Arabidopsis thaliana: one gene and its partner. The protein of the gene in region 1 interacts with the protein of each later gene in a pairwise test. Each region holds a gene or a part of one and is shown on either strand. Other genes may lie near its edges.

What was found. The genes of interacting proteins can lie anywhere in the genome.
Region 2: the proteins of eEF-1Bb1 (region 1) and ARD3 interact in a two-hybrid assay, tested with the Arabidopsis thaliana proteins (one large-scale study listed by BioGRID).

The regions. Positions count from the first base shown.
Region 1 is NC_003070.9:10,635,830-10,643,177, reverse strand, and holds eEF-1Bb1 (translation elongation factor EF1B/ribosomal protein S6 family protein), read right to left. Parts: upstream 4,265-7,348; 5' UTR 4,206-4,264; intron 3,919-4,205; 5' UTR 3,893-3,918; coding exon 3,810-3,892; intron 3,667-3,809; coding exon 3,550-3,666; intron 3,436-3,549; coding exon 3,342-3,435; intron 3,254-3,341; coding exon 3,130-3,253; intron 3,040-3,129; coding exon 2,760-3,039; intron 2,665-2,759; coding exon of another isoform or gene 2,663-2,664; exon of another isoform or gene 2,662-2,662; coding exon 2,577-2,661; 3' UTR 2,396-2,576; downstream 1-2,395. Other genes in the region: AT1G30240 (proline-, glutamic acid/leucine-rich protein), read left to right, coding at 1-23, 303-430, 505-773, 950-1,193, 1,282-1,937. UniProt on the Arabidopsis thaliana protein: EF-1-beta and EF-1-delta stimulate the exchange of GDP bound to EF-1-alpha to GTP.
Region 2 is NC_003071.7:11,229,914-11,236,905, forward strand, and holds ARD3 (acireductone dioxygenase 3), read right to left. Parts: upstream 3,449-6,992; 5' UTR 3,407-3,448; coding exon 3,344-3,406; intron 3,256-3,343; coding exon 3,144-3,255; intron 3,065-3,143; coding exon 2,970-3,064; intron 2,829-2,969; coding exon 2,714-2,828; intron 2,627-2,713; coding exon 2,502-2,626; intron 2,398-2,501; coding exon 2,209-2,397; coding exon of another isoform or gene 2,145-2,208; 3' UTR 1,857-2,144; downstream 1-1,856. Other genes in the region: AT2G26390 (Serine protease inhibitor (SERPIN) family protein), read right to left, coding at 198-578; Iqd4 (IQ-domain 4), read right to left, coding at 4,738-5,487, 5,565-5,687, 5,879-6,103, 6,206-6,622, 6,738-6,806. UniProt on the Arabidopsis thaliana protein: Catalyzes 2 different reactions between oxygen and the acireductone 1,2-dihydroxy-3-keto-5-methylthiopentene (DHK-MTPene) depending upon the metal bound in the active site.

The sequences.
Region 1 (7,348 bases):
GCTACTTTAAAGAGTATCCGCAGGTAAACCGGTCTCCCTTTATTTAATCTAGATTGTTTTTACCTTCATTGGCGAAAACTATATATTTTACATGTCAAACACATTAAATATTATATTTCAACTGAAACCTGACCTTAATTTCATTGACACTGACAATTGAGGAGTTGTTCCTTTGGTAGTTTATGTCTTGCTGAAAATAGTTTCGCAATTCTCGTTTTTCCAAATAATGGATTGTTACTAGTTACCACACCTTCCCGTGTCTTAGGAACTAAACAACATCCTCATATTGATTCATTTTGTAGCCAACTTTTACCATATGCTGCATCTGTGGTGAGACTTGTTAGTAGCTACTTCAGGAAATGTTCATTGCCAGAATTGAGGATAAAGCTCTACTCAATCACTACAACCTTACTCAAATCCATGGGTATAGGTAATTTCACAAGATCTTGCCTTTGATGTGATGAAAATATAAGATCATTTCTGCTAACATACTTCTCTGACCAGGAATGGCAATGCAACTGGCACAGGAAGTTGTCATTAATGCCTCTGTGGATCTAGACCAGACAAGTTTAGAAGCATTTGATGTGGCATCTAGCAAAAACCCCTCGCTTACTAATGGAGCTCTTCTTCAGGCTTGCAGTAAAAAAAGGAAGCATTCAGGAGTCGAGGCAGAAAATTCTGTTTTTGAATTGAGAATCCCTCACAATCACTTGAGAAGCCCGATTTCATTGAAAATAGCATCTCTTGAGGCACTGGAAACACTTCTCACCATTGTAAGCTCTTTTAACTCTTTACTATCAAAATTCAGCTTTTTGTCGACACTGTTGAAAACTTAGTAGAAAGTTATTAGTTACTTGAATCCTACTTATAATCACCATAGTTCTTCTTTGTGATTATGTTATAACAATATGATAGGTTATCAAATATCTTCTTTTCTTTTGGGTTTCAGGGTGGTGCATTGGGATCGGATAGCTGGAGAGAGTCTGTTGATAATCTTCTTCTGACCACTGCAACAAATGCCTGTGAAGGGAGATGGGCCAATGCTGAAACCTACCATTGTTTACCCAATAAGTCTACGACGGATCTAGTTGAGTTTCAGCTTGCAGCACTCCGTGCCTTTTCGGCATCTCTCGTTTCTCCATCACGAGTACGCCCTGCATTTTTAGCTGAAGGACTTGAGCTTTTCAGAACAGGTAACTAAGATTGTTGGCATGAATTAAAACTAAGCTTTAAACCGCAGAGATCTAGAGTAGTTGATGCTTATATATCGGCTTTGAACAGGTAAACTTCAGGCAGGAATGAAAGTTGCTGGATTCTGTGCTCACGCTCTCATGTCCCTTGAAGTTGTTATACATCCGAGGGCACTTCCACTCGATGGCCTCCCGACACTTAGCAACCGATTTCCAGAGAGCAATTCTTTTGGCAGCGAAAAACACAACACACCTAATCTTAATAAGTTGAATGTTATTGCTCATGATGGTGATGATCTAGGCAATAGATGGCAGGCAAAGGCGGATGTTCCTTCTAACAATGCGATTCAGAGAACCTTAGACACGACTTTACCTCTCCAAGAGAGCAACAGATTGAAAGTTGGGAATGATTTAGCTACTGTCGTGTCTTTGAGTGTCCAAGATCATACAGATATAGTTGCATCAGAGAATGGTCAACAAGCTGATGTGCCTGAGAAGGTTCCTGAGGAATCTCTAGGACCGGTTACAGACAAAGATGTTACGGCTCCCAAAGATGGGTATGAAGAAGTGGTGAGTGGGACTCAAGAGGGAGAGGATTTAGCGGTTAAAGACAGTCTGATGGAGGAAGCATCAATTGGTAAGAAGATAGAGTCCTTAGGGGAATCTGATGATGATCCTATTCCTAGTCTTCAGGAAGGTGATTTTCTCTCCTCTTCTTCTGATTCTGATTCTGATATTGAATCGTAATGCAAGACAAAAGAGTTCACAACCGTCTTAGAAGAATTTTGTTTCTAAGTTAAAGTTTTGATTATACAATTATACCTCTTTTTTACTTGTAAGATGTTTCAAATATGTGAGAGTTTAATTCCTTCCGAGAGTTTTTGTTTCTATTGTACACCAGTTTCAATTACTCACTAACATTGCAGCCAAAGCAGCCACAGAACCGAAATAACGATCGTGGTATATGAAGTTGATTTCTTCCATCTAGATCTTCCTAAGGCTAAGAGATTAACCAACTCCTTACTTTACCTTTGTGCTTAACTCGATTGAGAAACAAGTTTAACAAATATATAACGCTAAAAATGGATACATAAGTATAAATTTTATCAGCTTGAGTTGCTCTAAATCACAAACCCTTATCAGTCCTCACTTGCTAGTTTACTAGTTTTAGCTCAAAACCTGAACTTTATTCGGCAGAGCTACAAGGGAAAATTGCTAAGGATTCACTAAGAAACACATATCTAGAGATACAAGCGATGAACAGAGGGGAAGGAAGAAGCAGAGAATGGGTCATACACAAAGAAAACGTAATACTGAATTGTCACTTTTCATTAAATATCAAAATGGATCAGAGATGGCAGGCCATAACAGAGTCAAAACAACAGTCTACAAAAACTTGGGAAACTGAATATAGAAGAAGAAGAAGAACCAGACCACATGAACACAGACATTCCTTGAAGCTTTCTCCATCCTCCTGCATTATGATTCAATCCAACATAGACAGTTACACACCACATTATCTAACAAAAGATCACAGCTTAAAAAGAATTACGAATAGGTTCATGAAACTTACATATCTTGTTGAAGGCAACAATGTCACAGCTCTGGACATATTCATTGATCGGTTCAACAGTGAGTTGCTCTTCGATCATGGTGTCAATAGAGACAAGGTCGTCAACAATGGTGCACAAAATCTGCAACTTCTTGATACCATAACCAACTGGGACAAGCTTTGATGCTCCCCAAAACAAACCTTCCATCTGAATGGACTTCACAGCTTCCTCAAGCTTCTTCATGTCAGTCTCATCATCCCACGGTTTGATATCAATCAAAACTGAGGACTTTCCAGCTAATGAAGAATAATAAAAACAATGAGAAATCCAAGACATCTTCATATCATTCATATAAATTACAAGGGTAGAACAAAACCCAAACTTACATTCCTTCTTCTTTGTAGATGCCTTGACAGAAGCTGCTCTCTCTTCAGCAGCTTTCTTTTCCTCTTCGGTCTCCTCTCCGAAAAGGTCAACATCATCATCATCTTCTTCATCAGCCGCAGCATCCTACAAAACACACACATTCATATGAAATCTCCCCAATGCACAACTTTACAAAAACATTATGAGAAAACATAGAGACGATCAAGCATACCTTAGAATCAGCTGCAGGGGGAGTAGCAACAGCCTCCTCAGTGATAGGAGCTGATCCCTCAACAATGACACCGCTTCCTTCAGCAGAGACACCACTGTATATAGAAACATGATTATAACGAAACAATATTAGATTAATCCAGATTCCAGACAGCTAAAAACTTTAATCCATTAGTAAATGGAAAACAATAGAAGGTAATCAAGCTTACGAGATCCTCAAGAGGGCATCAATGTGATTGTACCAACGAGAAGCGTTCACATACTGTGAAGTTGGGGGCTTTGCAAGAGCTGCAAAGACGGTGATATCATCCTTTGAAGCCTGGTATCTATAAGCATACACAAAGGAAACTAATTATTACTCTTTTTGTTCAAAAAGGTAGAGATTAAGGATCTAATCTATTAGAGATGTTAACAACTTAATTGAGACAACACTTGAAAAAAAAGACAAATTTAAGAAATTGAAACTTACCCAGTAATGTAACTGCGAGTGAGAAGATGCTCGTCGAGCTTCTTCAATCCAGCATCAGAGTTAAGGTTAGGGAATGCTGCCATAGTTTCCGAAGCTCGAACCTTTTTCACTGATATAAAAAGCAGACAAGATCAGATCAACTACTAAAACCCCAACGATTCAGCAAAAACGAAACTTTATTTTGCTAAAAGACAGATCACAATTAGAAGCAAAGAACAACATCGAAAATTGATTCACTAAGACATCACTTAAGAGTTCCTAATCATGGGGATCAAAATACTCAAACTTCGAATTTCCAATCAAATACTATTATGACCATGGCTACTTTGAGATCGAAACAAACCTAATAGGAGGCGTAAGAACAAAAGATCTTACGGGAGAAATCGAAGAACAAACCTGAGCTAAAAGGCGCAGTCTTTGAAGATGAAGAGTGAAGGAGGAGGCAGAAGAGGATGGCGCAGAGTTCTCATAGGTACTTATTTAAGCTTCTAGGTTTTTCTTTAGTGGGCCTATATGTGGCCCAATTATCTCCTCAGTTAGGCCTTCTCTTTTATCTTGGTGGGCTTTACAAAAAAAAATCAATAAACCGGTTAAGATCTACACGATAGAGCATCAAGAAAACAATTCATAATTCTTCTGTCTATGAATGAAAGATAGTCATGTTTAAGTGAACCATGAGAAGTGTATATGGACCCAAATTTCCAGAGTGTCAGTTAGGAATAAATTAGCATTGTACTCAGAAATCAAAACTGTTAAAAAAAGTGGTAACAAGAAAAAATCTATAGAATTATTAATAAGGTAGTTTAGAATGATTTATGGAAAGATTAGATGTGTATGTATCTTACAAAATTCATCAATTTTCCTCTCTGATTAGTTGTCACTTTTTTCAGTTTTTCTCTTTTAAATTGTCATTTACTAACAAAATAATAAATTGAATTCATTTTGAAAATGATAGGTCACCCAATTTGTTTAATGTATAAGAAACTATCTAATATGTGGATATTAGTTATATTATCACCAAAAATGGCAAGCTACCCAAGCAAAATCGCAATATCGCTACAATGGCTGCATGTCTTGTTGGTTCGGTTCAAGATAATAAAGTTCTCTACATATTCTATTGATTCTTGTATCTAAAAGTTTATAGGCACAAACGATGCATCCGATGTAAACATGTTTTCTCGAATAAATTTTAAATTTTATTCAAAAAAAAAAAAAAAATCGCAATATCAAGTTCTTACTATTTTCTAAAGATGGAGTTGAGACCATTTGTTGGATCTCACATGCATAACGCCAAGAAAATCTAGTATACATACCAAGTTTTCATGTTTACAAACAGACACCACTTTAATATATATTTTACTAGTTATCTTTTTCAAAGTATTATTAGTTATTTATCACATAAAATAAATATAACATTCACGTACAAAAAAACTAAAATTTACAAAACCTTTACCCAAGAAAAAAAAACACTTTACAAAATCTATACACTTATGATATACATATGTTTTTATATAGTTTCTTAACACCTATTCTGATACGTCTAAGAAGTTGCATGTATGTTTTAGTCGTTGTAAAAAAGATTTGTTCAACTTTTCTATATTCTTATCACTTCTTTTTGTAAAAACAAAAAGCTATAAATTTTGTGGGGAAAAAAGTAACAAGATATAGTTTGGCCAAAGATGTACTTTGGTTTCTTTTAAAATTCCTCCTTGTTGAGAAAAAGGATTTCAGATTCCAATTGAGTTCCAACATTCTGGTTCAAATGCTTCTTTTCATAATCATTTTAAAGGAAGACTTTTTTTTTCCGGAACATACAGGTTTAATTCAATTTCAGAACTATATTATATCCTCAAACTTCTGTCTATATAACACTTTTAATGTAAACTTTCCTAAAACAATTATATCCATGTTATTTTATCGAAGCACAAAAGACATAGAGAATTCTTTTGGCCCTTTTTAAAAATTTGATGAGTGATCAACTTCATCGGCTGATCATTCCAAATATCCTGACTGATTTTTATTTTTCTTAAGGTAAATATAATCGACATTATTAGATTGATCGAATCGAACTCTAGTATTCTACTGTAATCTCTTAGTCTCACCTCATACAATCGTTGTGTGCGCCATGCCAAGATCACTAAATATCTATCTTGTACATGTGTAGAAATCCTCCACGACGGTCCACATATGATCCAATTGGGACATTAACAAGTATCACGTATTCTAATATATTAAAAGTTGTAAAAGTGTCATGTTCGCTAAGTATGCTCGCCAGTAACATCAACTTTGAGTTCCAAAACATATTACTTTTTGTTTCAATCATTTGTGATTTAGGTAGAATATTGGATCAACAAAAAAAAAACGATAGCATAGCATTAGCTTGCATGTGCTACATCAGGACAAATGCAGGGATAACAAACCAACAAATGTAATAATTAATGGTATATGTATACATATATATATATATATATATAACTTTAAACTTTTTGTTAGAAGAACCCACCATATATATAATTTAATATAGTAATATAATACATTTAATCAGATTAATTTCATAATTATTTGTTCTTTAAATCTCATGGTACATGATAACTAATGAATATTTAGTCGAATTTCAAATATGACAAAATTTTATCTATTGTATTATGGATAGAATGGTAGCTACGATATCACCTTCTAACAGTTTTCATCTGTGAAGTCTTCCTGTCACATACTCTTTTAAAGAAATATTCATTATTCCATATTTTTAAATTCTCAAAGCATGCATGATTGAATTTATATAATTTCTTTTGGTTATAAATATCTACAACTAAAAAAAAAAAACTGATTAATTATTATGAAAAAAAGTTTTCTTTAAAACGGAAAAAGAAAGAATGCATAAGTCCAAATTCACGAGTTGTAAATACTATCCAGACTCCAGTGTTTGACTAATCATATATACAACTTCAATTCAATCCCAGCATATATTTTTTTTTCTTATATAAAAATGATCAAATGATAATGGTCTTTCACCAAAGTTTTGGTAGTGGATCGTACAATTAATTAGGTATATAGCTAAACTATCATCGTGTTATACCATAAGCAGAAACCCAATTTGTAATTAAGAACTTAATTTAGAAAATTCTTAAACCAATAAGAAAACATTTTATTAATTTAATAATAGTTTCATCCGAATTATCGATTAAAAGTAGATCTAAATCTTTACATTTTCATCAAAATTGCTATTGATTCTTTTCAAGTAACAGTCCAACTAACATTAAGTAACGAAATAATGTTTTCATAAAAAATAGCTATATAAGGACAAACTACTATAATTTCATTTGAATAACCCTATAACGTTTGGTTCTCTGCTAGTATATCCAAAATTTTAAAATAAACGTGTCAAAAAGATACAAAACATTAAAATGCCATATTAGTATATATATTTTGAAAAATTCTAGTCAACTATGCTTTCATGTAACGTATGTAGTCACTATATATAATTTCGTAATTAATGTTGTCATACTCTTGTGTGATATTTTAGAAAATATCCATTAATA
Region 2 (6,992 bases), on another chromosome or scaffold:
GAAGTTGGATGTCATATATACACAAGAAATTGAAGAAATAAAAAAAGAGAATGTGATATAGCCGTCTCCTTCGTAACCACATTAAACGTCTTAAATAACACGAACATTCACCTTTATATATCTATGTTATAGGGATTAGTCTAAGTTTCGGTCCCATAATAATTGAAGCAAAATTTATCCCTAACGAAAAAAGTTACCTTGGTTGCGAAGTCAACTTGACTACAAGAAGCCTTGTAGGAATTCTCCAAAAGCTCTTTAAAGGAAGGCTTCAAATAAGAAGACTTGTCGATCCAGACACCGTGAGCCGTAGATAAGCACAAATCACTTCTCTCGGTGCCGCCGTCCGCGATCTTGGCCAAGACCGCGTTAAGGTGATCCGTAGACGGTGACATGAGGAATGAGAGGATTTCTTCTTTGGTGACGGGATTAGAACCAGCGGCGATGAGGCTGAGCAAAACGTTGATTGACATCGGTGAAAAGACAACATTGGAGCCATTGGCGACATCTGTTTCAATGACTTTCTTTGCTAGTCTTGCCACGACGTTGTTTTGGTTCTCAATTGATTTTCCTAACTCCATTTTTTTCCAAGAAGAGGTGTACGGGAAGATATAAGAATGGTTCTGAATATGCAGATGTGATGATTGATGAAATAGCTTGTTTCAAGTATACTAGTAGCTATTTTTTGTTTTAAATATATTTTCTGCACATGAATTATTCAATCGAAATGATTTAGAAGTAATAAAGTACCGCGTGTGGAAAAGTCGTATCATGGACTTCGTTGGAAGTACTTGGCATTAACTATAAACTAGGTCTTGAAGTTTGGTTAATTTATGCCTTATGGGTCAATTTACTTGGAACAACTCTCTTTTTCATCCTTTTACCCATAAGGCATATGCATAAACCAATTGTTCCAAATCGATTTTATAACTCTGGGAGTTGCCATTTGGAACAACTCTCTTTTTCATCATTTTATATCTCAATCTAGGAATCTATCATAGCTTGGCTATTCTCTAAAGTAAATTTCCTTTTTCTTTACTTTCTAGCACTTAAATAAAACTCCAATGAGCTATCTTTTTCAGTTTAAAATATATTTCTATGTTAATTAGCTCATTTGAACATAAATCTTTCTTGCTTTGGTGTCTCCTACATGTATATTTTGGAACCGTCTGTCAATTGGATTGGTGGATTCCGACTCTTATATCAAAGAGAAACAAAATAAAAAAACAGAGTAATAATCTTATTAGAGGGGGAAAACAATGTTTTTAAAACCAAATCATTGCTAGAGAACGTGATTTCCTAGCGAAAGTTTACACTTTACACCACAATATATACTAACGTGCATGTGAAAAGAAAAGAAAAGAAAGAGAAAAAGGTTGAGATGAATGTCTGAAGCAGCCAAATCTTATACTCCCTCTGTTCTATAAAGTTTGATGTTTTGAGTTTTATTTTTGTTTCATCAAGTTTGATGTTGTAGGTTAATATTATTATTATTTTTATTAGTAACCAATAGAGAGAAAAGAGAAGTAAAATTTATATTATTAGATTAATAGAAAAGTAATAAAAATAATATTAAAGTTACATTTTTTAATTTGTGTGAAAAACCCAAAACATTATTTTTTTAGGAACAGAGGGAGTAAACATGAACTGGAAAATAACAAGACATATACTTGATGTGTACATGTATCGATTTCTTCTTCTTCTTTTTTATCTTTTTTTTTTTTAGTTAAATGTATCGATTTCTTAGTCACCAAGAGGCAAGAATATAACAAAAGACTAGAAATTCTTTTGTTTGATTTTATTTATCATTGGGTACAAATTCTAAAAACATGAGATTATGGATACTCCATAAGTAATGTGTTCAATTCAAATAATCATTTTATTTATTTACAGTAACGGATGTATATCATGTATTATGCATAGACACCAGTAGGTTGAGACTAATAGTGACCGATAGTTTTATATATTTTCTTGCTTTCATATATTGTCATTTTCCTTCTTCTTTACATTACAATCACAACAATAATGCCAAAAGACACATGAACCAAAATGTCTTCGGTTTCCATGTTGTAAACATAATAAAGCATAATTAAAGACAACATCTAAACATATGTTTAGCTTATAGAAATCTGATCCCCGAGAGTTCTTTACGCTGAAGCGTCTATGTTACGGTCCCCAATCACCTTCAAGAATTTTTTCATATACGCTTTCCTATAAAATAGCCGTTTGAATATACATAAACACTTTTGTCGCCTCTTTGCTTAGATATATAACTACAGATCTAGTAAGCTTTGTCGTGACAATATGGGAGAACAAGACATCATTGTACCTTGCAGGAAGATGGTCATGTGGGCGATTATAAGCAGTCCACACTGGTCCACCCACGAAAAGACGCATTGCCTGTTCAATATATAAGAAAATTCCAATTTTCTAAGCAACCAAAAATATATTACTTGAACCTTCATATAGTATGAATTAATAACTAGAAGAAGCTAAGATTGAACCTTCATATAGTTGTCCGAGTCCACGGTGAAGCGATGATATATTCCAGCAGGGAAGACTATCAAACCTCCCTTCTTTACCCATACTCTAATCCAAATATCATTGAGATCCCTCACATCAAAGTATCCTTTGATTTGTTTTTAAGAAAAAATAAAATAAATGAGCACCATATCGAATTTATTTAAGTACTAAAGCAGCGAATAAAAGTACCTACCACTTCCTGCGAGGCAGTAACGGATCTCTTCATCAATATGTAAATGTTCTTCAAAAAACATCTTTACTTTTTCTTCATAGTTTGGAAGCTTCTCTGGACACACCTCACATAAGTCCTAAAACCAAACATCCAAATGTTTGCGAATCAAAAACGAATATTTAATAATCAACTAACAAACGAAGATTTATTTTTTGTTAAAAAAAAAGACCAAACAAAGGAAGATATTAAAAAAAGGCATCAAATAAATGTCACAAACCATGTAGGAGTAACCACGAGATTCGCGGATCCTTTTCAATTCCTCATCGGTTTCATAGTTATCAGCATCAAGTCTCCAGCAAAGTACTCCAAGCTCTGAACAAAAAAAAAAAAAAACATTATTAACCTACGTGAAAGAATAAAAGTATGTGCAACAATGAAGATACACACAGACCTGCAAGTTTGTCCAAAGATACAAATTCCTTAGGATCCTTGTGGTGAGGAAGTTTCTGATCCTCTTCCTTATTATCCAAGTACCAAGCTTGAATCACTTCTTCAGTTTGATCCTAGAAAACATCAATCTGATGCTAAGCAAAAACACTTCTAAAGTAAATGGGAATAGATCCTAAATCAAGAAGGAAGAGTTTATATTACCTTAGCGGCTTCACCCATGGTTATTCTTCTTTTGTGTTCAAAATGAAGAAAGAAAGAAACCATTTATATAGATAAAAAAGGAAACCGCTAGCATTTTTCTGTGTGCAAAAATGTAAAGTAAGAACACAAAACCACTCTTTCCATTTCTTAGGCACCTTTATCGAGAAGACAAGGACGTCACGAAGTGTCAAGGAGATGACGAAGAAGTGATGACGTCACGAAGTCTCACGACTTCTATTTACTCTATTTGCATTTGTTAAATAATAAGATGCTTTGTTCTTATCAATTATTGTTCTTAATAATAAGACTTCTATCCACTTTCTCAGGTCTTTGGTATTTGTTTCGATGTACTTAACTTTCTACGTGTAAGGAAGCTTCATGTTAGAAAAAAATAAAAATGGAAGCGTCATGTATTTGTTATTTGTTTCAGTGTACTTCAGAATTAGCTTTTTTTTCATAAATATTATCAAAATCTAAGACTATATAGGCTTCCAAAAAAATTACTTTGGAAGCTCATTGGAATCTTATGAATTTTTTTAATGGAAAATTGTGTTTCTATTTTAAAATTTTGATGTAAAAATAAATAAATAAACATGAAATTATTTCCGATAATCTTTTCTACACAAAAGAAAACCAAACTAGTTTTGTGATTTATATAATTTTTCATAGTAATATTTAAATTTTATTTTCAGTAAGACCATGCTAAGAAAAATATTAACGGCATGAATCATATATGTGTGATATTCGAAGTTATTAATTGAATTAAAATTAACTTTGAGAAACTTGAGTTTGATGATGTTATTACGGACAAATTACAGAGAAAGAGGAAGAATGATCCACTACATGAAGTTTACTAATTCATAGCAACCTGTCTGATTGATTGATATGTCTCGGCCAGAACGTAATCCAGCAATAGACTCAATTGTACATATTCATTGAGAGCTCCACAATCCAAATTTTTACAATCCCGATACAATGTCTTGTTTTTTTTTTTTGGTTTTAACAAACTCTTAAATTGATAACAAACTTTGTCACAAACCAGCTCCAGTTCACGTAGACTCTCGTTTACTTTTTGTAACCATTGCATATGTCATTTTGAATCGATTTCAACGACTATTTTCAAACATTAACGCGAAATAAATGGTTTAAATTTTTAAAAAATGTAAACAAATAATCCACCAGATAAACACCAAACCGAAACAGACATACATCATTTGTACTCACCCAAAGAAAACAATCAAAATAAGGTCTTCAAAATACACTCTTTGTTTTTTTGTTTTTTCTTTCTCTTTTCTATTTGCGTTGATAGAAAACAAATCTCACATTTGAGATGCTAAATCTATCAAACCGCCACCAAAGCAATATCTTGGTCTAGATAAGGCTATTACTTTAGGTTAACTGCTACCACCATTTCTTCTCTTCTTCTCTCCATTTGCAACACCAGTTGTTGCTTTATCCGAATCCGACAATTTCTTTGTTTTCCCAAGAGAAGTAGAAGATGAAAGCCTCTTCTTTGGCAATACCATCTGTGGAGGTTTCTTCTTATCAGCAACAACCTCCTTCTTTGGCATACTTGTTGTTCCGACATTAACCTTAGATTTCACAGCTTCCGTGTTGGCCAAGTTTCCTGTTGTTCCCACACTAGACTTGGATTTCAAAGTTTTCGTGTTATCCAAGTTTCTTTTTGCTCCCACATTAGCCTTGGGTTTCACAGTTTGTGCATTACTCACGTTGCTTGTTGTTTCCACACTAACCTTGGATTTCACAGTTTGTGTATTATCCAACGAATTTCTGCGCGAGGATGAGCTACCAACGCTTTCATCATCTTTAGCGTTTTCAGATGATCCACCACCGATACTGTGCCTGCGATTAGTAACCTCGATCTTTCTACTCTTTGTATCATTGTTTACAGGCCATTGAATAGAACTTTGGCTAGCTGACTTTTGTGTTTTAGATCTGGCAGGAGAACTCTTGATCGAGTTTTCGCGTTTAAGAGAACTTTTAACGGAAACTTGATCGTCAATGGATTCAGCATCCCACGGACGAGAAGCCATCCACCTCTCAAGCCAACTCCAACCCCAATCTGTTGTGTTTGTGTCCATCAAAGTCTGATGTGGAAGTTTTGAAGAGTTTCTCCATGTTTGCTGTTTTATTTTCCAACATCAATATATAAACAACTATGACTAAGTTCACAATGATGTTGTCTTTAATTTATATTTACCTGATGACTGTAAGCATACGCCAATGCCCTTTCTCGTCTTACTGAAGCTTCTTTTCGATTCACCGACCTTGCCACGATCTGTTCCTTTGATTTATTGCTGGAATCAAAATTTCCCGCGGTAACCTACAACAAAATATGCTCCAGTTCAGAATTTTGGTTCACCCAGTGTGGTAAAATGTAGGGAGATTTTACCACATAACAATGGGATGACTCTTTTTAAATTTTGTCATATTTTTAGATGAACGGTTGCATATATTGTAAACATGGTTGAATAAATTTTACATTCATTCAACAAAAAATGTAACGAGATTTACCAAATTCTGATGGTTTTCTTTCTGGTGACCCTTCTGTTGGATCAGCCTGTGACGAGTTTTGTTCTCTGCAGATAACCGATTCCTCCTCTCTTGAATCTGTGTTTGTAAACGTGTAAGAGTTTGCATTGAGCTAAGCATCGCATTCATTTGTCTTTTGACGTATTTTCCTTGCAGCAAACTTTTGAGTCTAGCCATTCCTCGCAGCGCACGAAGAGTGCGTCTCGCCTATGAAATTTCAAAATATTAGACTAAGTCTTTCATAATAAGAGGAATTAGTGATTTTTTTTGTATTTTGTCCAAAAAAAAAAAAGTGATTTTTTTGTATACCGTGTAACATCTATACGCATTTTGGATCTTGATTGCGGCAGTTTCCTCCTTTGATTCCTCAATTTGAGGTGTTGATGGGGTCGTGAGACGTATAACCTCCGCGGCAGCATGTGCAGCTACCACAGCTGCTTCGGCTGCAACAGCCGATGCAAGAGCTAAAGCTTGTCTATTCTTTGATTCTTTAGACTCACCATAGATTCTTGTATTGATGGTATATGCCGGAGGAGGAGGAGGTGGAGACGGTGGTGGTAACAACGGCTGAGGAGCAAAATCCGGCAACGGGGGAGGCGGTGGATATGGACGATGAACAGAAGAAGGTGAAGGGTCAACCGGTGGAGTCTCCTCCAGAGGGAAATCAAAAGATTCTCTACTCTTTTGTTTCCCAAACGACCATTTCCTCTTCGGTTTCTCGGGTTTCTTGATAAACAAGGCAAAACCAAAAGACCAAAATCAAAACAATTAGCAATCTTGATTTCATAATCAGGTTACATAATCATAATCAATAATTAGAGAACAGATTCGAAACACCAACTTGATTCTTTTTGTCTTTCCCTGGAGATAAACAAGCCACGGAGACACATGTTAACCAGTTCTTACCCATTTTCTCCTGAAATTTTCAGACAAATCTTTCATTGAAACATTTTCTTACAAAACACTTTATGTGAAATCAATAAGAAGAGATGAGATTATGTGAAGAGACCTCGTCGTGATGGGCCCCACCGATTCGTGGGAACCCAATTGACTTTTGTAACGATTGTGTTTTGTAAGAACGATTCAACAGATTTAA